6 linked regions of the Macaca mulatta genome follow. The protein of the gene in region 6 binds, or shares a complex with, the protein of the main gene of each other region. Links are inferred from orthologs where the notes say so. Each region holds a gene or a part of one and is shown on either strand. Other genes may lie near its edges.

Region 1 (4,383 bases), on a different chromosome or scaffold from region 6:
TAATGTTAGCAAAGAAAAAAAATAAAATTTAAAAGTAAATCTTACATTTTCCATTAAACACTGCTATTCGTGGCTGATATTTCTGTAATTTCTGTACTAGAATACGTCCTCCTTCACGAAATTCTTTACTAAAATTGAATTAAAAAGTAGTCAAAAATACAAATATGGCAATATTTTTAATACGCTAGATTCAGACAGCTTTCAATGAAAGATTGTATCGCACATTTGTTGAGCTCAGCTTGAACTAGACACATATGATGTTCCTAGAATATTTGGGGGACCAGCCTAGTCAAGGTTCCAACCCATAAAAACAAATGCTGTGTACTTACCTGGAGAGATCTTTGCTGCCAGGCGTCGTCCTTTCCACCATGTTGGTAAATCCAATACCATACTTCCCTGGTAAAGTATGATCATCCATATGGTTCAGCTGGACCTCGCTGAGCCCTGACATAAACAAACACTTCCCTGTGAAATGAAAATTCAGTTATTTTTTTTTTTTAGACAGGGTCTCGCTCTGTCACCCAGGCTAGAGGCTAGAGTGTAGTGGCACAATCATGGCTCAGTGCAGCCTCGACCACCGAGGCTCAAGCAATCCTCCCACCTCAGCCTCCTGAGTGGCTGGGACCCCAGGTGCACACCACCATGCTCAGCTAATTTTTGTATTTTTTGTAGAGACAGGGTTTCACCATGTTGCCCAGGCTGGTCTTGAACTCCTGGGCTCAAGTGATCTTCTCACTTCAGCCTCCAAAACTGCTGGGATTACAGGTGTGAGCCACCGCGCCTGGATTTAATCATCATAATTATCTTGCGAGATACTATTATTATCTCCTTTTCACAGGGGGTTGAGGCAAATGCTTGCCCAAGAATATATAGCAACTCAGTTTAGGAAACTTTGAGACTATTTTGCTTTACAATTGGTGATACCACTACCTCACACATAAATATACAGCAATAGACTAACAACAAACACCTTGACGGTGAAGAAATTTAAAAGTCCAAACTTCCCTAAAAAAGGAATTTTTTATAGGAACAATATGTTATTATTAGTTCCAAAACCACATTACTGTCAGTTGCCCTAAATGTTCTGAATGTTACCGTTAGATAATCAATTAGTATTTCCTTAGGGTATATTGTATACACTGATCTATTAGGCGGTATAAGGTGAGATGATTTACATACAAGACAGCTTATATAGAGAAAGTAATGCAACAGTAGTTACGCTTGTTTTTTGTTTGTTTGTTTTCTTGTTTTTTTGATACAGGGTCTAGTTCTGTCACCAAGGCTGGAGTGCAGTGGAGTAATTGTGGCTCACTGCAGCCTCTACCTCTCAGGCTCAAGCAATCTTCCCAATCCAGCCTCTGTAGTAGCTGGAACTACAGGTGTGCACCACAACCTCTACCTTATTTTTTGTAGAAATGAGATCTTGCTATGTTGTACAGGCTAGTCTCAAACTCCTGGCCTCAAGTGATCCTCCTGCTTTGGCCTCCCAAAGTGTTGGGATTACAGGCGTGAGCCATCAGATCCCGCCAACACTTCGTTGTAAAACTTACTCTAAAAATATAAGTCTTTACTACTATTTTATGCTTTCCTAGAAAATAATCAGCAGAAATCTGGAAATGTTAGTATTATGTCTGCGTTGCCACAGAGATGTACTATACTATCGTTCCTATGTCTATAGATAACAATTTTTTAAAAAAATCATTTTTAAAAAGTAATACAACTTGACCGGGCGTTGTAGCTCACGGCTGTAATCCCAGCACTTTGGGAGGCTGAGGTGGGCAGACCACCTGAGGTTGGCAGTTCGAGACCAGCCTGACCAACATGGAGACACCCCATCTCTACTAAAAACACAACATTAACCAGGCGTGGTGGCACATGCCTGTAATCCCAGCTACTAGGCAGGCTGAGGCAGGAGAATCACTTGAACCTGGGAGGCGGACGCTGCGGCGAGCGGAGATTGCGCCATTGCACTCCAGCCTGCACAACAGCAAAATTCCATCTCAAAAAAAAAAAAAAAAAGGTAGTACAACTCATTAGAAACAATTCAAACAAAAGAGAAAGTACTCTTATTCATGTCCCTCCACTCTCAGACTAAAATGTTAACAGTGACATATCATTTCAAACCCTCTTATTTTCATGTACAGACGCATACACAGAATATGAAACATGAATGTGTATTTACAGTCTCTTTCTTTTTAAAAACACAATTGGTTTTTTTGAAAAAACCTGTTAAAAAGGTATCTAATTTAAAAGTAAATTAATTTAAAAGGTAACCACTTACAAAAATGGTTTCCAGGTCCAGGGTAATGATGCCCTTTGTAAGCAGCCATTAGTCCCGGGTTTATGCCAATCTATAAAACAAAACAATTAAGACGTTTCATCTTAAAAAGTAGGACCTAAGCCTTAGGGTTTCTATGGAGGAGTGGTGGACAAAATTGAGTTGATTAAAATACAAATTTAATTGAGCATCATAAGCAATATCATTTACCAATCACTACTCTTGATCTGAACAAAGTATTTCATACATGGGAAAGAGATTTTCTTTATTTTAAAAGTTTTGCTGTTATTTTAAAAAACCAGTTTGACTCCTTCATGATCCCAGGCCTCTCGCCCTCACCAACTGGGCTGCTTTGAGTCTGGAAAGAGAGGTCCTGGAACAATCAATCAATCTGAGCCCATGTCCAGCCACAATTCTGGTTCTCAGCTTTCAACAAGCTCGCTCCACATCACCTACACAATTATTCACATGCTGATGTTTCTTACAGTTACTGACAAAAATAAGAGCTTAAAATCTGTGCTACCATTTATGAAGTCTCCACAGGTATTCAGTCGAAGTGATTCACATGGATTATCTCATTTACTTGCAACCCTATAAGGGAGTGGTATTATCACCCTTGGTTTATCAGTGAGAAAACCGGTGTTCAGAAAGTTAGTAAGGCTTACCCAAGATTATACTTGTGACAGGATTTGAACCCAGACAGCCTACATTTGGAGCCCACCCTCTTAAACACTCCCATATAACACAAACTCATGCAGGTGACACCATTTACCACCAAAAGGATTCTTAGAAATGGTCCTTTTCAGCAAAATGCTATTTGCAAGGACAACTGTTAAGTAAAGCTAATCCCCCAATACTACTTATAAAATCCAACGAGGACAAAGATCTTACAATGACAATGTCCAGATTGAAGGTCAAAATATCGGGGAGAGTCTTGGTCAGAAGTTCAGCTTCTGAAATACCATTAAAACGGTCTACTTTTCTTTTTACTTTAAATGTGTCTGTAATTTTTTCTTGTTTTTCTTTTGATTTTGCAGACTTGCCAGATTTTTTTGACTCAGCGGGTTTTTTGGGTTCCACTGGTTTTTTTGGTTCTGTTGTTCTGGGTTTTCTTTTTCTTCCTTTTGGAGCCTCTGAAACACAATTTCCAGAAATGCAGAAAATCTTAACTTAGAAACTTTAGCAGCTTTCCCAGAAGAGTTACCCAATAAGCACCTTTTGTACCTGTCTCCCCAAAATTAAACTCTTACAGTCCCAACATCAGTCCCCTCTGCACTATCCTCCCCGTCTTTCACCCTAGAACTGGGTTCACGCAATCCCCCATGCCTACTTTCCTTCCCCTGCTAGCTGTTTGTGGGAAGAATAATCATAGACTATTATTTTCTACACAGCATTACTTGGCATCTTAACCTTCTCAGGGATACAAAGTTTCTATGTATCATTTTATATAAATTCTAAATGTAAATACATAAATAAGCAAACAAGAACAGAAAAATAGAGAAACAGGAAGGAAGGGAAACATTTTAACTCAATTTCCCCAGTAGAAAACCACAAATGGGCCAGGTATGGTGGCTTATGTCTATAATCCCAGCACTTTGGGAGGGCAATTTGGGAGGCCAAGGCAGGCAGATCACCTGAGGTCAGGAGTTCGAAACCAGCCTGGCCAACATGGTGAAACCCTCGTCTCTACTAAAACTATAAAAATATTAGCCAGGCATGGTGGTGTGCACTGTAATCCCAACTACTCGGGAAACTGAGGCAGGAGAACTGCTTGAACGCAGGCGAATTGCTTGAACGCAGGAGGTGGAGGCTGCAGTGAGCTGAGATCATGCCTCTGCACTCCAGCCTGGACAACAGAGCAAGGCTCTGTCACCAAAAAAAAAAAAACAGAAAGAAAAACACAAATGGCTTGTGGGCTTGTTTTAGAGATGAGGTATATTCTGTTCCATACATAGTTGAAGAGAGAAATTTAGGGGTGCTCAGGATGACATCTCTGGGTTGGCAGTATTTTTCAAAAGGCAGGAGGAGGGATCCGACCTCAGGACCTAAAGCAGTTTCTCAACCTCCACACTACCGACATTTCAGGCTGCACAATTTTTTGTTGT
Region 2 (4,383 bases), on a different chromosome or scaffold from region 6:
TCACCCAAAAAAAAAAAAAAATTCCTGGAGGGGTTTTGACTGGTATTGTATTAAATCTATAGATTAATTTTGGAAAACTGATATTCTAGTTATTTTGAGTTTTCCAATCCAGGAACAGTATACCTTTCCATTAATTTAGATTTTTTATTTCATCAGTGTTTTGTGGCTTTTGGCATATAGCTCTTGTGTAGAACAAAATTAAAATTCCTTATTTCCTGGCCATAGCTGATTTAGTCTAGACCCCTCAACCCATTTAGTAGCCACAACCCATTATTACTATTTGGTAAGAACATTCTAGGTCAGGCGCAGTGGCTCACACCTATAATCTCAGCACTTTGGGAGGCCCAGGCGGGTGGATCACCTGAGGTCTGGAGTTCGAGACCAGCCTGCCCAACATGGTGAAACCCCGTCTCTACTAAAAATACAAAAATTAGCCAGGCAGGATGCCACCACAACTACTCGTGAGGCTGAGGCAGGAGATTCACTTGAACCTGGGAGGTAGAGGCTGCAGTGAGCCACGAGCATGCCATTGCACTCCAGCCTGGGCAACAAGAGTGAAATTCTGTCTCAAAAATAAACAAATGAGAACATTCTAAAGTTTACCGCATCAACAAAAGCAATGGAACTAAAAGGAAAATTTATTAGAGATATTCTTACTTGAGCTTCCTGAACTTTTTGAAGCTCTGATTGAAAGTCTTCCCCATTTCCATTGTCTTCATCAGTATCACTACAGACTCCACAAAAAAATGTAGGTGGAAGTTTTAACGTATCTGCTTTTGCCTTCTCTTCAACTGTTGGTTTCTTTTCCCAAACAATAATGCATTCTTTCTCATTATCTGAAAAATCAGTACAACACAAGCAAACGAAATTAGATGAAGCCCAACTTCTCTACAACAATGGTAGTCATCAATATAATCTACAGACCCAGGTAACAAGACCTGTACATGCTAATGAAAAACAAGGACCACCCAGAAAAGAATATTTTTCACCTAATGTTAAAGTATTTTAAATCACCATGGGCATAGTAAAATTGATAATTATAGAAATTACCAGACTAGGTTATTCCTTCTAAATAGAAGACTTGTTAAAAGCAGTATAAATGTCCTTTACATTTAACATACCTGCTGTATTTTCTTCCAAGGGTCTACATTTTTCTGAGCCATCCAGATACAGTTTTCCATTAAGTTTCTTGACAGCTGTTTCGAAATCTTCATCTTAAAATACAATTGATTAAAAGAATTTCTAGTTAATTTTGGGGGGTTTTCCTTGCTTAGGGACTATCTCCAACTTCACCCTTTCTCCCTCTCCCCATTTGAATTGCAGTCAATTTTGCCAATTTTATATCCTTAATACCTCTCTTACTGCTAGAGCTTTAGCTCAGCCTCTCATCTTGTTTGAGCTGCTCTCATTTTAACTCATCTTCCAATCTCCTTGTCCCATAATCCAATACTGTATACCACTGTCCAACTGATTCTATTGAGACTTTTATTTAACTGCTTAGCTTAAAAAATGGCATACAAAGTTTTCCATTGGAACCTTGTCTGCCTTATCTCTCTTCCACATCTTTAAGACTCCAGAAAAATTATGATTATTTTAAATCCCCTCAAAACATGTGCCTGGCACATTAGCCATCCAAAAAATGCTTGCTCAATGATCACAGTCCTTTTGATCCTTATATCCATTGACCACTTACACATACATTTAGGGTGAATATACCTGCAAGGATATTAGTGATAAGTTCTAAGAGGCAGGCTTAAAATAATTACACCACACTCCCAATTTTACTAAGATTAGCAGGAACACAGTGTTTTTGAAATAACAAAAGTTTTACCATCCTCCTCTTCTTCACTAACATAATCTGGTCTATTCTTGTAGCAGAAGAAAGTTGGAGGAAGTTTCAGTTTGGTTGCAAGGGCTTTCTGCTCAGCGGTTGGAGTTAGTTCATATACAATGAGAACATCATCATCTGAGGGAGAATCCTCAGGTTTTTTCTTCTCTTTTGCTGTAACACCAGTCAAAAAAATTGACAAAGGTAAGGTATTAAGTATTGACATTAATACTCTAACTGAAAATAAAAACCATAGAACTTGTCTGCAGGTTAAAACAGCATACTGATAAAAAATACATATACTTTGATGCAGAGATGTACGATAATCATGAATTAGAATTAGCATCCTGATTTAGTGTTCTACCAAAAACCCTTAGTGAACATAGAATCTATTTAAAACCAAAGAAAACAAAAGTCTTGTGTTTACTTAATAGTTATTGAAAAGAATTACTACTGATTTCTAGAATTTAAAAAGGTTAAAAATTTGAAAGTGTTGCCTAACTATACTTAGCATACAGTAGGTTTATGAAAATATCCATGCATTTGCAGCAACTAAAAAAATCTTAAAGAAAACATAAGCAAGTATTAGTAGACATATGAAACTAATCCAAAGCCAACTGTGATTAGTTCCTGTAAGGAGAGTTAACAATTGCCAAGAATGGAAGGTGATTAGAGTTGCATCTACTTTGTCTACATTCCAAGCATGATACTAGATAAAATTAAATAAAAACTGTTACTCTATGGGTAACTAACACTATAAAATCTAAGATGATTCATATGGCTGAAAACCACCCATCTCCAGCCACCATCAATGCAAAGGGCAAAAAATTAGAGAGAGAAAAAACTTCTATATGCAACCTGTTCTGATCTATTAATGTAAAGAAGAATTTCTGGCTAAAGGAGTTTAATAAAGTAAGCCAGTCAAGAAGCATGCCATGTATACCAACTGGTGACAGGGAAACATTCTGAGAGCTATGCTGTCCAATATGGTAGCCTAGCAACATTCTATTAAAACCTTACAAGGTGGCTAGTCCAAATCAAGACATGCTAATACTAAGTGTAAACACACACACTGGATTTTGAAGACTTGGTGAAAAACAATAATGTAAAATATCAATTTTTATGTTAATTAGAAGTTAAAATGATATTTTGGATATCATGAGTGAAATCAAATATATCAATAAAATTACTTTCATCTGTTTCCCTTTTTAACTGTTTCTTTTTATTCTTTTTAATATGGCTACTAGAAAATTTATTTATTTAATTTATTTGAGATGTGGTCTTGCTTTGTCACCCAGAGCTGGAGTGTAGTGATGTGATCATAGTTTACTGAAGCCTGGAACTTGTGGGCTCAAGTGATCCCTCTGCCTCAGCCTCCCAAGTAGCTGGGATTATAGGCACAAGCCTGCACCAAATGACAATTTTAAATTACATACACAGGTTATACTTTATTTCTATTGGATGACACTGCTCTGGAGAACCAGCGCCCTTCCTTTCACAATGTTAAATTTGTCCTTCTCCTACATTATAAACAAAAACTTAGTATCATTACCTAGCTAGGAGAAATAACAGTACACCGTAAGATAAAGGTTCTTGTTCCAGTTCTACTATTACTCAGTCAAGACACCTTGGGTAAATGAGATAGCCTCTCTTGGCCTCAGTTTACTCATGTCTAAAGTCTTCATTTCTAAGGTGCCTTGGGACAATGACATTATCAGATTCAAAACAGAATAAGGCTCTTTGTTCTACAGTAGTGTATAGACACATTCGTTCTTAGGTCAGGGATTCCTAACCTAGAGCTCACAGAAACTGTATGCAAGTATACATCCACTTTCGAAACTGTATGCTAGTATACATCCACTTTTAAGTTCACTTTTCATATTTCTCAAAGACTGTATCTTTAAAAATAAAAGATTAAGAGCTACCTTAGCCAGTAATAAAACTGGTATACTTAAAAAAAATCAGAGATTGTTACTTTATCATTGTACTTGTTTGGCATGGCTAAGATGTGTTACTGGTCACTAATGGTGAGATTTCACTTCCCTAAACTTTCTAGAAGGCCTTCAACAGATCCCACTTCTTGTTCCACTCTAGCAGCCACACTTCTAAAAATGATCTGTGCAACATATATAATACACAAGCTGTAGAATGCTGGCTGTTAAAAATGGGGTCCATTTTCAAATACAACATTTTTCTAAACCGTGCACAAAAGAACAGCCCTACAGGGACACTCTTCCATATTGTATACATGCCGTTGCCAATACATTTGAATACTGGCAGACGTTAGTGGCTAAAGATAAACATTAGATAAAACATAGGTCTTCATTGAGCAGACTTGAAATAACAGAGTAATGAAGTACATTACAAATCAGCATCCCAGTATATTTTAAAAAACAAACCAAAAATAAAGGATGTCATGCCACCAGTCAAAAGGTGCTTTGCTTAAACTGGCATTCTTTAACATGCATGTTGTAGTGTTAAGTACTTAATTTCATACAGCCACAGTTATTAATACTTTGCTAAGGGCTACCAGCTGCTAAAAACTGCTGTTATCT
Region 3 (4,383 bases), on a different chromosome or scaffold from region 6:
TGATATTTAGCAAATGTGAGTCAACACAATCATCTCATATCTTGGAATACAACAGATTCTTTGTAAATTCTAACCTTCAAATATGTTGAGTTATATAGTATGGGTTTGGTATTAGGAATAAGTTCATTGCATTTTTTAAAAAAGTGGTTACAGTTTACTAAAATGCCCCTTTTGCTGATTATTGCATTTGAAAATAATAAAAACTTACAGAACATGAAGAATGAAGGTAGTTAAAATTCTTAAAGATGTGCCACATCTTGGCTTCCTCTACAATGTTGCCCTAGTAGGCAAATCTCTTGAATACTTACTGTTATATTGGGCATGCAGGTGGAGAGAGAGAGAGATCCATAAAATAGTGAAGCTGTGTGCTGGGGGAGGAAGCATATATTTAGAAGAAAATAATTTCTTCTTTTTTTTTTTTTTTTGAGATGGAGTTTCACTCTTGTTGCCCAGGTTGGAGTGCAATGGCGCGATCTTGGCTCACTGCAACCTCTGCCTCCTGGGTTCAGGTGATTCTCCATGCTCAGCCTCCCAAGTGGCTGGGATTACAGGCACCTGCCACAACGCCCAGCTAATTTTTGTATTTTAAGTAGAGACTGGGTTTCACCGTGTTGGCCAGGCAGGTCTCGAACTCCTGACCTTAGGTGATTTACCCACCTCAGCCTGCCAATGTGCTGGGATTATAGGCGCGAGTCCCTGCCCCGGGCCTAGAGGAAAATAATTTCTATTGGGTTAATGGATTTAGTTTTGTATTCTAAATAATGCATTTATCTGCATAATTCTTTAGTATGATGAAGCCATTTATTCCATAAGGAGTCAATTGCTAAATTGCTGCCTGGTTTCCAAGTTTCTGCCTGTTTGCTTATTCTCTTCATGTCAAAAAGGATGGTATAACCCCTTAGATGTCCTAATCTTATTTTGATGTTTTATTTACTTATTTTTAAGATGGAGTCTCGCTCTGTCGCCAGGCTGGAGTGCAGCGGCACGATCTCAGCTTACTGCAACCTCTGCCTCCCAGGTTCAGGTGATTCTTCTGCCTCAACCTCCTGAGTAGCTGGGACTATAGGTGCATGCCACCATGCCCAGCTAATTTCTGTCTTTTTAGTAGAGACGGGGTTTCACCATGCTGGCCAGGCTGACCTCATGATCCACCCGTCTTGGGTTCCCAAAGTGCTGGGATTACAGGCGTGAGCCACCGCACCCAGCCTATTTTGATGTTTTAAAAGTTTAAAGGAGAGAATGGGTGCAGTGGCTCACGCCTGTAATCCCAGCACTTTGGGAGGCTGAGGCAGGCAGATCACTTGAGGTCAGGAGTTCAAGACCAGCCTGGCCAACATGGTGAAACCTCGTCTTTACTAAAAATACAAAAAAAAATAGCTGGCATGGTGGTGCGCACCTATAATTCCAGCTAATCAGGAGACAGAGGCACAAATATCGCTTGAACCCGGGAGGCAGAGATTGCAGTGAGGTGAGATCATGCAACTGCGCTCCAGCTTGGGTGACAAAGTGAGACTCTGTCTCAAAAAAAAATAAAAGTTTAAAGTGGAAATCAGGATTTTAGTATTATGAAGGGAGCAAAGGCCAGGAAATTAGACACACCTGGGTTCAAATATTTGTTCTACCTTTTAATAATTATATGACTTTGAATATGTAAAATAAATTCTCAGTTTTCTTCTCTATAAAATGGTAATAATATCTTCCCCACTAATACGGATTAATGATGTGCTTCAAGCATCTAACACCATGTTTGGCTCATAGTGGTTAATACATAGTAGTAGGATAATTGAGACCATACTTTAGATGTAAATATTATTATTATTGTTTCCACAAGCTAATAAGTGAACCAGCATTTGTTGTATTAGTAAGAGTGCTTTGTAGTTACAAGTTAAAATATTTTCAGGGTTGGTGTGGTGGCTCATGCCTATAATCTCAGCACTTTGGGAGGCCAAGGCGGGTATTGCTTGAGCCCAGGAGTTTGCAACCAACTTGGGCAATATAATGAGGCCCCATCTCTATTACTAAAAAATAAGAAAAAAATGTTTTCATACTATAGTAAGTCTTTGATAGTATATTTTTCTCAAGAGTCAGGTGTTGCCGAGATGAAAAACTTTTTTCAGTCTCAGAGTTTTCAATAACTGATAATGGGTTCTATATTAAAATAACAACTTCTGGACTTTCTAATTCAGGACATGGAAAAGGAAATCAGTAATGCCCTAGGCCATGGCCCACAGGATGAAATCCTAAGTTGTGCTTTCAAATTGCGAATTACTCGAGGAGATATTCAGACATTAAAGAACTATCACTGGCTCAATGATGAAGTAAGTTGTATTCCCTCCCCCTTTTGGCCATCATTAATTTTAACTATTTATTTATTATCTGTAATCAAAGTGACTTCTACCCAGTTATAAGAGGTTGGTAAAGCAACTCTTAGTTATAATTAAAACAAAAACATCTTAAATCTTAAAAAGATGGTTAGTTCTGATTTTCTGCCTTTAATTAGCAATATTTCCCTTTTCTGCGTCTGTACTTTATTACATCCACCACTCCATTTACTGGTCTTCAGTAAACCCTGGGTACAACTGATGAATAGGAGGAAGCAGCAAGTGATACTGTATTTTAGGTGAATTCTTATAGTAGCTGTTTTTTTGTTTTTGTTTTTTGTTTTTGAGACAGAGTTTCGCTCTTGTTGTCCAGGCTGGAGTGCAATGGTGCAGTCTTGGCTCCATGCAACCTCCACCTTCTGGGTTTAAGCGATTCTCCTACCTCAGCCTCTCAAGTAGCTGGGATTACAGGCATGCACCACCACGCCCGGCTAATTTTGTATTTTTAGGAGAGACAGGGTTTCTCCATGTTGGTCAGGCTGGTCTCAAACTCTGGACCTCAGGTGATCTGCCCACCTTGGCCTCCCAAAGTGCTGGGATCACAGGCGTGAGGCACCACGCCTGGCCTGTTTTATTTTTTGAGTAATAAAAGGATATATTGATTACTATATACTCTATGTATTTTTCTTTATTTGAGTGATAGCTGAAAAATTTTGCCTAACTTGTCATCTTGTATCCTTATTACATTTAGCAGAAGCTAACTCTTAAGTTCTTTGACAATTTTCTGGTGGGTTCTTTCCCGAACTGTTTAGCCCCTGCATCTTCTCTCTTTGAGGGAAATCCCCTATGACTAGTTACTTATAAACACATTCTTTGAAAATAGGAATGTTTTGTTTTACATTATAATGTAATTTGTTTATTGTAGAACATTTGGAAAATACAGGAAAAGTAAAAAATATTACTGTTCAAAAGTACCACCACTTAAAGATAAATAAAATGTTAATATTTTGGTGTATGTCCTTCCAGTTTATATTTTAAAATTGAAGTCTAATTTATATATAGTAAAATTCACTTACTGTTAATATTTCTGCATTTTTTTGCTGTGTTACAGTTATGTAGATCTTTTTATTATTGCACAGACTTTCTTCCTGGATTCCATCTTCTGGCCGTTAAGTGTTACTTACATGCCTTAAAAGTAGAGTTTCATTCCATTTTCATGTGTTCCATTTTGCACTGATCACTTTTTTCCCTGTCTTCTACTATAGAGAGTCCTTTTATCCCCTTCTTTAGTACCTTACCTTCGAATTCATCCTTATTCAGGTAGAAATTTAGTTTTGATAATATATTTGCCATGTTCCAACTTTTGTTCCCTTGGTATTTTGTAGGTCATTAATTTTTACATGAATCTTCTGGTGGAAAGAAATAGAAAGCAAGGCTATCCAGCACTTCATGTATTTAGTACTTTCTTCTATCCTAAATTAAAGTCTGGGGGTTACCAAGCAGTGAAACGATGGACCAAAGGGGTAAATCTCTTTGAACAAGAAATTATTCTGGTGCCTATTCATCGGAAGGTACATTGGAGCCTGGTGGTGAGTAGAGAGGGTTAATGGTTAATTGTTGGACTTTGGATAAAGACCATTTTTTAAAAATAATGCTGCCTGGCCGGGCGCGGTGGCTCAAGCCTGTAATCTCAGCACTTTGGGAGGCCGAGACGGGTGGATCACGAGGTCAGGAGATCGAGACCATCCTGGCTAACACGGTGAAACCCCGTCTCTACTAAAAAATACAAAAAACTAGCCGGGTGCGGTGGCGGGCGCCTGTAGTCCCAGCTACTCGGGAGGCTGAGGCAGGAGAATTGTGTAAACCCGGGAGGCAGAGCTTGCAGTGAGCTGAGATCCGGCCACTGCACTCCAGCCTGGGCGGCAGAGCGAGACTCCATCTCAAAAAAAAAAAAAAAAAAAAAAATGCTGCCCTTTTCTGCCCTGTGTATAAAGGCCAGTAGTATATATTATAAGCATGCCCTGCAGAGTCTCTTTTTATTTTTTATTTTTTTTAATGTCTC
Region 4 (4,383 bases), on a different chromosome or scaffold from region 6:
GTTTTGATTTTTGTTTGTTTATTTTTGAGATGAAGTTTTGCTCTTATTGCCCAGGTTGGAGCACAATGGTACGATCTCGGCTCACTGCAACCTCTGCCTCCCGGGTTCAAGTGATTCTACTGCCTCAGCCTCCCAAGTAGCTGGGATTACAGGCAACAGCCACCATGCCCAGCTAATTTTTGTATATTTAGTAGAGACGGGGTTTCACCATGTTGACCAGGCTGGTCTTGAACTTCTGACATCAGGTGATCCACCTGCCTTGGTCTCCCAAAGTGCTGGGATTACAGACGTGAGCCACTGCACACAGTGGCTTTTGTTTGTTTGTTTTGTTGTTGTTAAGAAAAAAGAAATTCACAGATAGAAAAAACAAGTGAAAACAAAAATTAAAGAGGAAGTGACATAAAGATACAAGAGTTCATTTTCTTTTATAATCTTCCATCATTACTCTGCTTTAAAGAGTATAAAGAGCACAGATTACTGATTCCTAACTTTGCAGAAGTGAATTGATCCACTATAATCAGTGACTAGAGCAAAATTCTCCAAAATGGGTTTTCAATCAAAATGTACTTCCAAATATATTGAAAGAAAAAAAAATCTAGGAGGCAAGCAGAGTTGAAAACTTTAAAAAAGGCACACAATAAAAATGCCAAAAAGCCACTATTTTTCATTAAGGTAATTCATTAATATCTTCAAACCTTATTCATGAATTTAAATTATTAGCCTATTTAAACATTAATTATTCTATCCATATTTCTTCAGAGATTACGAAAAAGAGAGGTATAGCTCAGTGGTAGAACATTTGACTGCAGAAATTATGAAAAATGAAAAACAAAACTTCTGAATCCTTAGAATTACATCTTTTCTTATGTACTAGGAAGTGAAAATGGACATCAGCACTCCTTTCATTGAATAATCTCACAAAGGTACAGAAGAAAGTGCAAGGCCCAGCAATAAGATAGGATGTACCCACTTCTCTAAGGACCTAAAAGCCTAACAGCATTTCATTTTGTCACTGTCAACCTCCTAAATGATCGCCTTTTTTATTGCTTTCCTGTTTTCAACTGTAAACACACTGCTTTCTAAAAGACTGAAGGTCAATTTGGAATTTCAGGAACAAAGTGAAGATGTGAATTCTGAGCTCTTAAAATTGTAGTAACATACTATAACGCATGAATATATATTTTATATACATCAATAGAGATTTTATCTACTAGATCAAAAAAAGGCTCCAGAAAATTATTATGAATTCATCCTCCTCCTAAAACACTAAAGAATGAAAGTGAGATTTAAAAAAAAAAGAGAAGTAAGATAGAAGTAAGAGAACATGATGGTTTAGTAAGCAGGCAACAGTTCACTAGCGGACAGCAGTTTATTGGTTTCTCTCAGCAGTGAAGTCTCCTCCTCTTGGGTGGTTTGCACTGTGACTGCAGCTGCGTACCTTTGGTGGTATCAGATATGCTATTTAACAAGGCACACATCATATCTCCCTCTAAGTGGTGAGGGTTTAGTATATGAGCTGGCCTCTGAGTCTTCTTAAATTGATTCTCTAGCTCCAGAAAACCTTGATCTCCTGAGAGGATGGTGAAAGGAATTTGCTTGGGTAGTTGTTCATCTAGACGGCCAGCCTAAGTTAGAACAAATGGCACAGGTTGATAAAAAATCAGCACGAGTTTCAAAACAAGTTATATCTATTCACAATGAACACATACCTAGGAAGGTATATTAAGCTTGTTCCCTAATCCCTACCAAAGTATGACACAAAGATCTCCTTCGGCTGGGTGAGTGACTCACGCCTGTAATCCCAACACTTTGAGAGGCTGAGGCAGGTGGATCGCTTGAGGTCAGGAGTTCAAGACCAGCCTGGCCAACATGGTGAAACCCGGTCTCTATTACAAAATGCAAAAATTAGCTGAGTGTGGTGGCATGTGCTTATAATCCCAAGCTGGATTCTCCAGGCTGAGGCTGGAGAATCGTTTGAACTTGAGAGGTAGAAGTTGCAGCCGAGATTGCGCCACTGCCCTCCAGCCTGGGCGACAGAGTGAGACTCCGTCTCAAAAAGAAAAAAAAAAAAAGAAACAGAGAGAAAGACTTCCTTCATAAATTAAATACCCCACATTTAATCAAATATAAGATGCTATTAAATTATATGATAAGCTATTTTATGTGCCATAAAAAGAAAAAGCCAAAATGGAAGTCCAACAGACTTCACATAAAGTTGGAATACCAATGGGCTATACACTCAATGTAAGGGTAAATAAGAAATAAATCTGTCATAGAGAAAAGGTAAGCAAGGCAATTTGCATGATTCAATCTTGGCACTAGATAGAGGGAAAAAGAAATCTTTTGTTGTTTAAACCATAAGCTGTAGTCAACAAGTTTGCCGAGTAAATTCACATTATCAGTGTGACATGTAAGTCCTCAAGCAAAAAATGTAAAGTGGGTCTCAGTTTGGCAGTTTCTCTAGGTACCTGGCAGAGGCAGAAGCAAATGTAAATTCTATCTAGGCCGACAGTGATTGTTAAGGTACCTCTTAATTTTAGAGATACTAAAATATGAAAATGTCTTAATATATATCAAATACAGTATCATCAGCGGGTGCAGTGGCTCACACCTGTAATCCCAGCACTTTGGGAGGCCTAGGCGGGCGGATCACTTCAGGCCAGGAGTTTGAGACTAGCCTGGCTAACAGGGAGAAACCCCATCTACTGAAAATACAAATATTAGCCGAGCATGGTGGTATGCTCCTGTAGTCCCAGCTACTTGGGAGGCTGAGGCACAACAATCGTTAGAGCCCAGGGGGCTGAGGTTGCAGTGAGCTGAGATTGCGCCACTGCACTCCAGCCTGGGCAACAGAGCGACACTGTCTTAAAACCAAAAAACAGTATCATCTCTTGATCATTTATCCCACAAATAGTTGAGTATCTACCATGGATAGCTGAAGGTTTGCTAGAAGTTGAGGATAAAGCAATAAAAATATGCTATGGGGTCCTGCCTTCATAATAGTCACAGGTAGAACCTGAAGTACTGAAGAATGGTCTATAACTCTCATTACAATTCAAGTGGGAAAAAAATGCAAGTGGGTGTGAGATTCACATTAGATTTTGAATAAAACAATGACTCACATGCATACATATGGCAAAATCAGCAGCATCTTTTCTTTTACTACAGCGAGGATGAAGGAAGAAGCATCCAATCCTGTTCAGGTAATTATAAATTTTACAGTTGAGTGGAGGCTTCCAATTGGTGTTTCCTCCTATTAATTTCAGAAAAAGCAAAAATGATAATCAAACAGGAGAGGAAAGGCCAAAAATTTTATCAAGAAAAAACATATACTAGAAAAAAAATTTTCTAGAGGCAAAGTACTAAATCAGAATGTGGAAGAACTCCATCCGAGCATAAGCATCAACATCTTGTTGCTGTACAGTCTTGAGAAAGTGGACTAAATTCCCTGAATCTGTCAACTCATCTTAAAACTCACATGGATATTAAGCAAAATCAAAAGTAATGTGTGCAAAAATTCTTTGAATGGCATTATTCTGTAAGTGTAAGCATAAGTGGTTTTTACAAATGTCATCACTGTTCAATGCAGAAATGATGGGCAATCACCAAAGCTCAACTTACTAAAGCAATTATACTGGCTAACTTATCCAGGTCAGCATGTTTCTATCTTTAATCCCAATCTTTCTCTTTACATGCTATTTTCTATCAAACACGAACAACAGCAGATGCTCACTATACTAATCCTCTGTAAACCAAAGAAGCCTCTCCCCCAGGTTTGGTCAACAATTTGTAAAGAGGTTTAGATGAAGCTGAACACTTAAGAACAGCAGGATGAACCGAAGAGGCAGTTATGACATGTTGAAAATGACATTAGTCCTGTAGTTGAAAGGCCAAATTTCAAAAGCTAACTCTGCTATTTATTAGTTTTAAAACTTTGAGGGAAAAAAACAAAAACAAAAACAAAACATCTGCTTCTCTGTATTTTAAAAGGGATAAAACCATAATAATCAGTAACCATATTAGTACAAAGCCATAGTGCCTGACACACTTTAGGTGTTGAATAAAGGCTTTTTCAATCAGTATCAAAAGATCCATGAACTGTTTCTTTTTTTTTTTTTTTTTTTTTTTTTTTTTTTTTTGAGATGGAGTCTCGCTCTCTTGCCCAGGCTGGAGGGCAGTGGCGCGATCTCGGCTGCAACTTCTAGCTTCGCCTCCTGGGTTCACACCATTCTCCTGCCTCAGCCTCCCAAGTAGCTGGGACTACAGGCAACCGCCACCACACCTGGCTAATTTTTTGAATTTGTTTTTAGTAGAGACGGGGTTTCACTGTGTTAGCCAAGATGGTCTTGATCTCCTGACCTCACGATCTTCCCACCTCGGCCT
Region 5 (4,383 bases), on a different chromosome or scaffold from region 6:
GTATTTTAGACCTGAAGATTTTATATTGTGATTATGAAATGTAAATTGTTTGCTTTTTCAATTAATATTTACTTACAATAGAATGCGGATTTAAAGGCTGGTAATGAATTACAAAATTGTGCTATATGACATACTATTTATGCATACAGTGTTGCATATTTTCATTTCTGGGAGATTTATTTGTATTTCTACTTACAAAAAAACTTTTTAAAACTTGTTTTATGGCTGGGCCCGGTGGCTCACACCTGTATTCCCAGCACTTTGGGAGGCGGAGGCAGGTGGATCACCTGAGGTCAGGAGTTCAAGATCAGCCTGACTAACATGGTGAAACCCTGTCTCTACTAAAAATACAAAAAATTAGTCAGGCGTGGTGTAGGAGCCTGTAATCCCAGCTACTCGGGGGTGCTGAGGCAGGAGAATTGCTGGAACCCAGGAGGCAGTGGTTGCGGTGAGCTGAGATCGCGCCACTGCACTCCAGCCTGAGCAACAAGTGCGAAACTCTGTCTCAAAATAAATAAATAATACAAACTTTTTTTATGTTTTTGTTCAAAAGTAGCAGTGAGACTGTCCCACAAAGGTGACTAAAATAGCCTTTGTAACTACCGATATTTATAGAATATGCTTAGGGTTAGGGTATAACTTGCTTGTATTATACTCATCTACCATGTAGAAATACGTACATCATAAGGAAGTATAACACTGTTTGATTACCTTGGATGGTCATCTTCTTGGGAGAAAGAATCTGAGCGGTCTGACTTAGGAATCTACCACTGGGTACGTTATTGTAGGGCAGAGGCGTTCCCTAGAAATATGCAGGCTGGTGTCCCACCTCTTGAGAGTGGGTGCAGTTCTCAGAACCAGGAGAATATTTAGGGGGCAAGTTGTTAGTTGCTTCTTTAGTACTTTTCCCAGTAGACACATCTACCATTTTTAACCTCAACTGTGCATTGAAAAGCACCAAGGGAATTTAAAAGTAAATACCAATCATAGGGACATTTGAATTAGAATCTCAGGGATGGGGCTCAGGAAATCAGTAATTTTTAGAAACCCCACATGATTGTTATTACTTAGGTAATAACACCTACTGTCTGCCTTGTGGTCCTGCCAAGGTGACTGTTCGAGGCAACTGTAGTTCCAGGCTAGGGGGAGAACTGGACCATGGAAGTGAGGCTCTGTCCAGGTTAGGGAAGGCATGGAAGGACTCAGTCTCTTGGGCCAAATCAGTAAGGGAGCATCTGAGCTCCTTGAGAATAGGAAGGAGAGAAACCAATTGGAAAAAAGAATGTAAGAGAAGCATGTAGATTCTGCTACTTAGCTTACTTTCCAGTCTCAAAGCTGAAAGCCAACATTCACTGTTCAGTTATTTTCAGTGACAAGATTCAAATCTTCAATCGTAAAGTTGTTAAAGGAAAGGATTAGACTGAAAAGTTAGGAAGAACGGTAGATGAAGAGTCCAAAGAGTTGAGGCTGGTCATTTAACCATTGTGTGGCCACACCCTTTCCACAGGTGGAACAAGATGATCAGAATAGAAATGGCCAATTCTGGTGTGTTTCTACAGTGTTTCACTGGTTACATTTTTTTAACATCTGTGGCAAACCATTTCCATAATTTTTTTTCTTTTTTTAGAGACGGGTGTCGCTCTGTCACTCAGGCTGGTATGCAGCGGCATGATCATAGCTCACTGCAGCCTCAAATTCCTGGGTTCAAATGAGCCTCCTGCCTTAGCCTCCTGAGTAGCTTGGACTACAGGTGTGTGGCACCACTCTCAGCTAATTTATTTCATTTTATTTTTTGTAGAGATGGTGCCTCGCTATATTGGCTACGCTGGTCTCGAACGTCATAGAAACTGGTTTTAGGTTCCTAGAGGCTGGCAGCAATTCTCGGAGGTAATGCAAGCAGTCCTCCTGCCTTGGCCTCCCAGTGTGCTGGGATTACAAGGTGTGAGCCACCACACCTCATCAATTTTTGTTTTAATATACTCTAAGGCTATTATAGTTCCAAGATCTTTTTTTTTTCCTGAGAAATCTAGAAAGATGGAAGACAGTATGGGTCTTTTGTGTGTTTTTTTTGTCTTAAGACATTTTCATAAATGTCTGCCAAGGAAAAGGAAAGAGATCGAAGTGTTAATTAAATATTTATGATGGACATTTTTAGAGAAATGCTTTATAAACTTTCCCTCTCCCAGCTCTGGGTGACTTATTCTGTCATACTGTATTAACACATATTCATGCTGTAAATATAGTAAGAAAAGACAGTAGTTCACAATTTTGGTTTAATTTTTGCCATTATTGATTATGAGCAGTAATTTTTCCTTTTCTTTTTGAAGGTGATATGGAAAGCCCTGTGTTTGCATTTCCCCTGCTCTTAAAACTAGAACCCCACATTGAGAAGCTCTTCCTATATTCTTTTTCTTGGGACTTCGAATGTTCGCAGTGTGGACACCAGTATCAAAACAGGTTAGTTTCTTTTGTTTTTTAAAATGGGTCCTTCTAGTTTCTCCACCACAGGTTAAGAGAACAATTTGAGCACCAGACACTGCAGTTTGATTGCTTCTTTAAACTGGAAGGGTCAGAACCTCATGGTTTGATAGACTGGTAGTAGGAGATTTCTTAAGGAGTTCTTCAGTGGGAAATAGGGACGATGAGAGGAATAGTACACCTCCCTTCTCCAGAGTCCTTGCTGAGTAAGAATACCTCTCAGAATGCCTTGAAACTATAGGCATTTTTGTTTATTCCTCTATTAGAGTTGAGGGGTTTTGCTTGTTTACTTTAGGTTTCTAACATTATAGACACTGGTTTTAGACTCTTGGAGGCTAGCAGCAATTCTCAGAGGTAATGCAAGCTTCCTCATTTCTTCCCATAGTCCTGTGAAAGACCAACCACCTCCAGAAGCCTTACACGTGAACTGTCTCAGCCATACTTTCTACTTTTCCTAATGCCTCTCAGCGGCGTATTAGAAAGGCCATGATTGATGCACCTGTTACCTTCAGGCTTTGCATAAGGTGTATATGAAACATAATGAATTTCATGTTTAGGCCCAGGTCCCATCTCCAGGTTATCTCTTTATCTTGGAGACACTTCTGGTCCCATACATTTCAGATAAGATATTCAACCTGTACCTACCATGTAAGGAGAGGAATAGGTTTTAGAAGAGGAGTCAGGGAGGCAAGGTATTGAAGATGACCAAACTGGCTCAATTGGTTATGTATTCAAATTATTACAACAGAAATAACTCTTTTCCACTTTTTTTTTTTTTGAGATGGAGTCTCACTCCCATCGTGCAGGCTGGAGTGCAGCAGTGCAATGTTGGCTCACTGCAGCCTCCACCTCCTGGGTTCAAGCAATTCTCCTTCCTCAGCTTCCTGTGTAGCTGGGATTACAGGTGTGTGCCACCACGCCTGGCTAATTTTTGTATTTTTAGTAGAGACAGGGTTTCACCATGTTGCCCAGGCTGGTCTTAAACTCCTGACCTCAAGTGATCCAGCTGCCTCGGCCTCCCAAATTACTGGGATTACAGGTGTGAGCCACCATGCCCAGCGACACTTAAGTTAGAAAACTTGAAGTCTCTTTAAGTTACTAAAGTAAAATGTGATATAAAAATATTACTTTTGAAGGCTGGGCATGGTGGCGCACGTCTGTAATCCAGCACTTTGAGAGGCCGAGGCAGGTGGATCATGAGGTCAGGAATTTGAGACCAACGTGGCCAACATGGTGAAACCCCGTCTCTACTAAAAATACAAAAATTAGCCGGGCATGGTGGTGGACGCCTGTAGTCCCAGCTACTTGGGAGGCTGAGGCAGGAGAATAACTTGAAACCCAAAGGCGGAGGTTGCAGTGAGCTGAGATCATGCCACTGGACTCCAGCCTGGGCAGCAAGAGCTTCACTCTGTCTCAAAAAAAAAAAGAAAAAAAAAATTACTTAGATATTCATTATCTAAATATGAAATCTTTTTTAGGTATTTAAGGAGTAGTCAAGGAGAGTTCAGTCTGGGAGGATGCTCCAGGGAATGCAGGCAACAAAGTGTTTGTTTGTTTGTTTTTAACTGGTTAGATCTACTAGAACAGGGTAAGGGAGGCCACGGAGTAGACACCATGAGCAAAGCTAACCCTCCTGAGTTGAAAAAAATTATGGACAAGAAGTTACCTTAAAAATAACTGTTGGCCGACGTATCCAAGGAATGTCGCAAGGATTTGGTCCCTTTATGCATCCTGAGATAGATGAATGTGTGGAGATGGCAGCTGGTGGGCAACAGAGTGATACTGGCATGGTGGTGATACAGGGAAGTAGTTTGATCATGTTAGAAGCCATGGAACAAAGATATATCATGGCTGCTCTGCAGAAAAATCAGTGTCCCCTCCAAAGGGCCTGTTTTACTCTGATGT
Region 6 (5,000 bases):
TACCCAAAGAGGACCTACAGAAGGCCAACAAATGCAGCTCCATCCAGAGGCTGAAGAAAGTAGATTTGGTAAGAAGGTGGAATAGACAAGACTTGGTGATTGATTGGATGAGGAGTGTGTGAAGGAGAAGAAGTCAGGAATGTCGCTGGCCTTTCCAGCTTAGGGCAGCTGTTGTAGTGGTGTGTCACACAGTTTAAGAGTGGTAGGTCAGGAAGAAGAACCCACGCGAAAGGTAAAGTGAGGAGTTTTAGTTGAGAGTTGCTGGGTTTGAGGTGCCTCTGGGACATCCAACTGGAAACTCAGAAGAAAGATGTGGACTAGAAATAACAGATTTGAGGATCATTAGCAAAGAGATGGCAGCGAAAGCGGGTGAAATCATCCTCGGAGAGGGAATTGAGTGATAAAAGGATCTTGAAGAAAACCCTAAGGAACAGTTAAGGGAAGGAGTGAGTAAGAAAAAGAAATTGCAGAGAGAACAAAGGACAGGCTAGAGATGAGAGGAAAACCTACCTCCTGCAAAGTTCAAGAGAAAGAGTGACAAACTGAGAAGCATACTGGATTCAGCAAAGAAGTCTGCGGTGACCTTGTGGAGAGCAGTTTTAGTGGAACTTTGGGGACAGCACCAGATTGCAGTGGGTTGAGGAGTGAGTGGGAGGGGAGGGGTTGGAGACAGCTGGCAGGGACATTTTTTCAAGCTGTTTGGCCAAGAATGGAGAGAGATAGGATGGTAACTTAATAGAATTGAGAGCTTCTTCTTTTTTTTTTTTTTTTTCTATACTAACGGAGGAGAGGAAGAAAATTCAGGGACAAAAGCAAATAATAAAGCCCAGGGGGAGGAGCAAGATGGAATCCAGTGCACACACTGGATTGTTCTTCAGACAGGAGGGATGCATGTCTATGTTTTAACTGGATGCAAGGAGGAAATGATTAAATTGGCTGGAAGCTTGATTGTTGGGTAGTTCTCGCTTAAGGATACTGTTTCCTCTTGGAAGATAGGCGATGAGTAAGGAGTTCGTTGAATGAATACACGAACATTTTCCCGTAGCTAGTCAAAGTCTAGGGTTACCAGCAGGACAGAAGAAGACACTGCAGGCCGGGTATGGTGGCTCACGCCTGTAATCCCAGTACTTTGGGAGGCCGAGGCGGGCGGATCACGAGGTCAGAAGACCGAGACCATCCTGGCTAACACGGGGAAACCTTGTCCCTACGAAAAATACAAAAAATTAGCCGGGTGTTGTGGCGTGCGCCTGTAATACCAGCTCCTCGGGAGGCTGAGGCAGGAGAATCGCTTGAACCTGGGAGGCAGAGGTTGCTGTGAGCCGAGATCGTGCCACTGCACTCCAGCCTGGGCAACAGAGCGAGACTCCGTCTCAAAAAAAAAAAAAAAAAAAAAGAAGAAGACACTGCATTTGAGGCAAGAGTCCGGTGGGAAGCAGGTTAAGACTGACTGAGAGGAAGTAACCATGGGAGGGCTGCTGGTCCACTGAAAGAGAGAGATTTTTCCAGAACCTCATGCTGGGGCTTTGATTTAGGAATCCCCTTCTTCCTCTAGTCAGTCAGCCTTCCCTGGCCTATGGCTCACGTCTAAAGCCTCGAGCCTCATCGTTCCCACCGAGGACCAGCTGGAAGCCATTTTGATTATGCTCCACCACGAAGGAGGACAATACAGCCCCGCCCAGAGCCAGGCGCGCCCCCGCGGCGGGCCGGGTGCGCGTGTCCGCGCTTCTTCCCGCCGGCCGGGCGGGCGCCTGGCCCAGGACGCGGTGGCGCGGGGCGGGGGGTGGGGGTGGTTATGTAAGCGTTGCGCGCTCCCGCGAGGCGCCAGCCAATGGGAGGCCCCGGCGGCTCGTGCTCGCGCACGCAGGGTGGGGGGAGGGAGCGCACGACGTGCGCGCACCCTCTCCCTCGTCCACCGCTGCCGCCTCCTTCTTCTGCCGCTCCTGGTGCTGCTTGTGTGCTCGTTTGGTGCGGACCTGGTACCTCTTTTGTGAAGCGGCAGCTGAGGAGACTCCGGCGCTCGCCATGGCCGACGAAAAGCCCAAGGTGAGCTCGGCGCCGGCCCCTTCGCCTCGCCGCGCGGTCGGGGTCAGGGCGCGGGCCGGGGTCCGGCCAGAGCTCGCCGCTGGCTCCCAGCGCCTTCCCGGGCCCCCCACAGGGCCGGCCGCAGCTCAGGCCCCGGCGCTCCGCGCCATTTTCCTCCCTCCCTCTCTTCCTCCCTCCCGCGCCGGAGGAGGCCCCGCCGCTCTCTCCCGCCCCCGGCGGCCTCCGAGTGCGCGCGGGGCGCGAGTTGGGCGGGCAGATCGCGGACGCCCGCGGGCCCACCAGCCCCGAACGGGGATTCTTGGCCCAGCCGTCCGGCGCGCGTGAGGAGGGGCGTTAGGGCGCGCGGGGTCTCCACCCTGCGCCGACCCCGCGTCGGGTGTTGCAGTCTCCGAGGCGGCGGGGAGTCCCCTGGGCTCGGGCTTCACCTCTCAGGGGTAGAAACCGCGGGCATCTGGGGACTCCTGCCCGGGGCGGCGGCGGCGGGGCGAGGGTTCGGGGCGAATCAATGGGCTGCTGATGAGCAGGAACCTGGATGCCCGCTGGCCGCCGTACTGGGCCTGGGGGTAGGGGGATTCCCGTGGAGTATTTCCCACTTTAATGGCCTCAGGGACCTGAGGGGGGAGGGGCAGCGGCTTTTCCCTGGGTGCCAACGAACCCCTAATCCGCGAAGACCATGTGGTTTCATGAAGTTGGAGGCACAGGTAGGAGCAGAGAGACTTTGTGCGGCTTAACTTTTGAATGCGGCTTTTGAGGCACCCGAAGACTTCCCGGGAGGACTGGGGGACACCCATCATCGGGGCACACGGGACTTGCTGCTTTTAGTTTGGTGACACCTCCCGCCTCTCGCGCCTTTACTTTCTGAAGCGTTTTAGGGCTACAGCATGCCTTCTACACTCGATTTTGGACAACTTTAGGTTGGGTCGAAATCTACAAGAAACACTTGGGATAAAACTGTGTATTTGACCCATGACAACAAAGGGGAGGGGAGAATAAGTGCTCTTAACCGAAGATAAAAATGAAGCTGCTAATAGAGGAGAACGTAACTGTGGTCCTGAGTATTACCGCTGTTCCGGAGGGAATCGGGATATTCTTCGATTTTTCGTGTGTGTGTTTACTTTAATGGAGATTGGATTTAGGTTATTAAACTGAGTTTGGTAACTTTTTAACGACAACGGTAATGAGTTTTGAATGGCAGGCTGTAGATTTATTGTTTTGTTTCTTGCAGTTGTACTTAAAGTGCTTAGAAAAGAGACTCTTATTTTTAACTTTTTTTGGGGGTAAAATATATATTTTGGGAGTGATATATGCCATTTTAGAAAGTTTAGCTTCAAGAGAACGTTCAATACACTGAATAGGACCCAACTTTAAACATGTATTGTTGTTACTGATAGTATTGCATGTAGGCTTTTCTGTATCTGACAGCTATCTAATACTGTTGCTGCAGGATTTCTCCTCTTTCACATTGATTTCAGCAGCTGAAAACAGCCGTATGCCGTTTTAGCATACCGTATGAGAAACCTGTTGATTTTTGAAGCAACTTAGGGCTGCTGCTGCTTTATAAAAGTGTGTGTTGATCACATTTCCCAAATTATACTTTTATTTTTCTTTTAACAGGAAGGAGTCAAGACTGAGAACAACGATCATATTAATTTGAAGGTGGCGGGGCAGGATGGTTCTGTGGTGCAGTTTAAGATTAAGAGGCATACACCACTTAGTAAACTAATGAAAGCCTATTGTGAACGACAGGTGAGGAATTCATATGTGTACTTCCACTGAATAAAACTATTTTTAAAAATCTTATTTTCATGGGAACAAAAACTAGCCTGGCATAATACTACAGTGACTTTTTGATGGGATGAATATGCACTTGTACTTGGCATGTCAGTTTTATCGTGCACTTGGTAGCTTGCTCATGAAAACCCTTAGGATGATTTGCTTAGTATTATATGTGGTTCCAGTCCTGTGCCAGAAATCCATCAAATTGTATTTACAATACTTGTTTTTTGGTTTTTTTTTTAACCAAGGAAATGTAATTTTATGTTTATAAGAAAGTAAGAGTGAACTTGGTAAAATTACTTAAGAGTCTTTTATTATTTTATTTTATTTTTTTGAGACGGAGTTTCATTCTTGTTGCTCAAGCTGAAGTACAGTGGCGTGAGCTCAGCTCACTGCAACTTCCACTTCCCGGGTTCAAGCAGTTTTCCTGCCTCAGCCTCCTGAGTAGCTGGGATTACAGGTGCCTGCCACCACGCTTGGCCAATTTTTTTTAGTATTTTTGGTAGAGATGGGGTTTCATCATATTGGCTAGGCTTGTCTCAAACTCCTGACCTCAGGTGATCCACCCGCCTCGGTCTTCCAAAGTGCTGGGATTACAAGCATGAGCCACTGCGCCAGACCAAGAAGTCTTTTTTTTTATTTTTTTTTTTGAGATGGGAGTCTTGCCGTATTTTTTTAAGCTAGAACTTATCTACCTTGTAAATCGTGGGGTTTTTTTTGTTTTTTTTTGGTTTTTTTTTGACAGAATCTTGTTCTATTGCCCAGGCTGGAGTGCAGTGGTTCAATCTCTGCTCACTGCAACCTCTGCCTCCTGAGTTGAAGCTATTCTTTTTTTTTTTTTTTTCCCCCCCGAGACGGAGTCTTGCTCTGTCGCCCAGGCTGGACTGCAGTGGCCAGATCTCAGCTCACTGCAAGCTCCATCTCCCGGGTTTATGCCCTTCTCCTGCCTCAGCCTCCCGAGTAGCTGGGACTACAGGCGCCCACCACCATGCCTGGCTAGTTTTTTGTATTTTTTTTTTAGTAGAGACGGGGTTTCACCGTGTTAGCCAGAATGGTCTCGATCTGACCTCGTGATCCGCCCGTCTCAGCCTCCCAAAGTGCTGGGATTACAGGCTTGAGCCACCGTGCCCGGCCAAGTTGAAGCTATTCTTATGCCTCAGCCTCCTGAGTAGCTGGGATTT

The links.
Region 1: the proteins of SUMO2 (region 6) and TDG are in contact, whole or in part, in a crystal structure (PDB 2D07), measured with the Homo sapiens proteins. The link is inferred for Macaca mulatta from reciprocal best matches to the Homo sapiens genes SUMO2 and TDG. Residues at the interface, in NP_008868.3 of Homo sapiens: His17, Asn19, Asp26, Gly27, Ser28, Val29, Val30, Gln31, Phe32, Lys33, Ile34, Lys35, Thr38, Lys42, Leu43, Ala46, Glu49, Arg50, Gln51, Gly52; in NP_003202.3 of Homo sapiens: Met165, Arg281, Gln283, Val286, His287, Ile290, Asn305, Met306, Asp307, Val308, Gln309, Glu310, Val311, Gln312, Tyr313, Thr314, Phe315, Asp316, Leu319.
Region 2: the proteins of SUMO2 (region 6) and RANBP2 are in contact, whole or in part, in a crystal structure (PDB 3UIN), measured with the Homo sapiens proteins. The link is inferred for Macaca mulatta from reciprocal best matches to the Homo sapiens genes SUMO2 and RANBP2. Residues at the interface, in NP_008868.3 of Homo sapiens: His17, Asp26, Gly27, Ser28, Val29, Val30, Gln31, Phe32, Lys33, Ile34, Lys35, Thr38, Lys42, Leu43, Arg50, Gln51; in NP_006258.3 of Homo sapiens: Asp2630, Asp2631, Val2632, Leu2633, Ile2634, Val2635, Tyr2636, Glu2637, Leu2638, Pro2654, Thr2656.
Region 3: the proteins of SUMO2 (region 6) and SENP2 are in contact, whole or in part, in a crystal structure (PDB 3ZO5), measured with the Homo sapiens proteins. The link is inferred for Macaca mulatta from reciprocal best matches to the Homo sapiens genes SUMO2 and SENP2. Residues at the interface, in NP_008868.3 of Homo sapiens: Arg56, Arg59, Arg61, Phe62, Asp63, Gly64, Gln65, Pro66, Asn68, Thr70, Asp71, Gln75, Leu76, Glu77, Asp82, Asp85, Phe87, Gln88, Gln89, Gln90, Thr91, Gly92, Gly93, Val94, Tyr95; in NP_067640.2 of Homo sapiens: Gln385, Asp386, Leu395, Arg396, Tyr408, His409, Trp410, Leu411, Asn412, Asp413, Glu414, Ser439, Thr440, Phe441, Pro444, Lys445, Arg456, Trp457, Lys459, His474, Val477, Trp479.
Region 4: the proteins of SUMO2 (region 6) and ZNF451 are in contact, whole or in part, in a crystal structure (PDB 5D2M), measured with the Homo sapiens proteins. The link is inferred for Macaca mulatta from reciprocal best matches to the Homo sapiens genes SUMO2 and ZNF451. Residues at the interface, in NP_008868.3 of Homo sapiens: Asn19, Ala23, Gly24, Gly27, Ser28, Val29, Val30, Gln31, Phe32, Lys33, Ile34, Lys35, Lys42, Leu43, Ala46, Arg50, Gln51; in NP_001026794.1 of Homo sapiens: Asp30, Ile31, Gln32, Phe33, Val34, Ser35, Glu36, Gly37, Pro38, Leu39.
Region 5: the proteins of SUMO2 (region 6) and USPL1 are in contact, whole or in part, in a crystal structure (PDB 7ZJV), measured with the Homo sapiens proteins. The link is inferred for Macaca mulatta from reciprocal best matches to the Homo sapiens genes SUMO2 and USPL1. Residues at the interface, in NP_008868.3 of Homo sapiens: Gln25, Asp26, Gly27, Ser28, Val29, Arg59, Arg61, Gly64, Gln65, Pro66, Ile67, Asn68, Asp71, Gln75, Leu76, Phe87, Gln88, Gln90, Thr91, Gly92; in NP_005791.3 of Homo sapiens: Ala234, Cys236, Trp237, Gln322, Leu323, Arg324, Met330, Glu331, Ser332, Val334, Phe335, Leu339, Thr378, Thr380, His393, Gly395, Pro396, Asn398, Arg407, His421, Phe422, Val423, Glu424, Tyr451, Asn454, Asn455, His456, Phe457, His493.

Annotation. Positions count from the first base shown.
Region 1 is NC_133416.1:111,203,001-111,207,383, reverse strand, and holds part of TDG (G/T mismatch-specific thymine DNA glycosylase), read right to left. Parts: intron 3,412-4,383; coding exon 3,170-3,411; intron 2,352-3,169; coding exon 2,282-2,351; intron 466-2,281; coding exon 330-465; intron 129-329; coding exon 46-128; intron 1-45. UniProt on the Homo sapiens protein: DNA glycosylase that plays a key role in active DNA demethylation: specifically recognizes and binds 5-formylcytosine (5fC) and 5-carboxylcytosine (5caC) in the context of CpG sites and mediates their excision through base-excision repair (BER) to install an unmethylated cytosine.
Region 2 is NC_133418.1:19,348,395-19,352,777, reverse strand, and holds part of RANBP2 (E3 SUMO-protein ligase RanBP2), read right to left. Parts: intron 2,003-4,383; coding exon 1,832-2,002; intron 1,215-1,831; coding exon 1,122-1,214; intron 837-1,121; coding exon 658-836; intron 1-657. UniProt on the Homo sapiens protein: E3 SUMO-protein ligase which facilitates SUMO1 and SUMO2 conjugation by UBE2I. Involved in transport factor (Ran-GTP, karyopherin)-mediated protein import via the F-G repeat-containing domain which acts as a docking site for substrates.
Region 3 is NC_133407.1:97,770,029-97,774,411, forward strand, and holds part of SENP2 (sentrin-specific protease 2), read left to right. Parts: intron 1-2,186; coding exon 2,187-2,318; intron 2,319-3,706; coding exon 3,707-3,910; intron 3,911-4,383. UniProt on the Homo sapiens protein: Protease that catalyzes two essential functions in the SUMO pathway.
Region 4 is NC_133409.1:125,138,110-125,142,492, forward strand, and holds part of ZNF451 (E3 SUMO-protein ligase ZNF451), read right to left. Parts: intron 3,254-4,383; coding exon 3,123-3,253; intron 1,626-3,122; coding exon 1,439-1,625; intron 1-1,438. UniProt on the Homo sapiens protein: E3 SUMO-protein ligase; has a preference for SUMO2 and SUMO3 and facilitates UBE2I/UBC9-mediated sumoylation of target proteins. Plays a role in protein SUMO2 modification in response to stress caused by DNA damage and by proteasome inhibitors (in vitro).
Region 5 is NC_133422.1:10,494,894-10,499,276, forward strand, and holds part of USPL1 (SUMO-specific isopeptidase USPL1), read left to right. Parts: intron 1-1,798; exon of another isoform or gene 1,799-1,887; intron 1,888-2,327; coding exon 2,328-2,457; intron 2,458-4,383. UniProt on the Homo sapiens protein: SUMO-specific isopeptidase involved in protein desumoylation. Specifically binds SUMO proteins with a higher affinity for SUMO2 and SUMO3 which it cleaves more efficiently. Also able to process full-length SUMO proteins to their mature forms.
Region 6 is NC_133421.1:84,873,106-84,878,105, reverse strand, and holds the start of SUMO2 (small ubiquitin-related modifier 2), read left to right. Parts: upstream 1-1,893; 5' UTR 1,894-2,022; coding exon 2,023-2,043; intron 2,044-3,657; coding exon 3,658-3,789; intron 3,790-5,000. UniProt on the Homo sapiens protein: Ubiquitin-like protein that can be covalently attached to proteins as a monomer or as a lysine-linked polymer.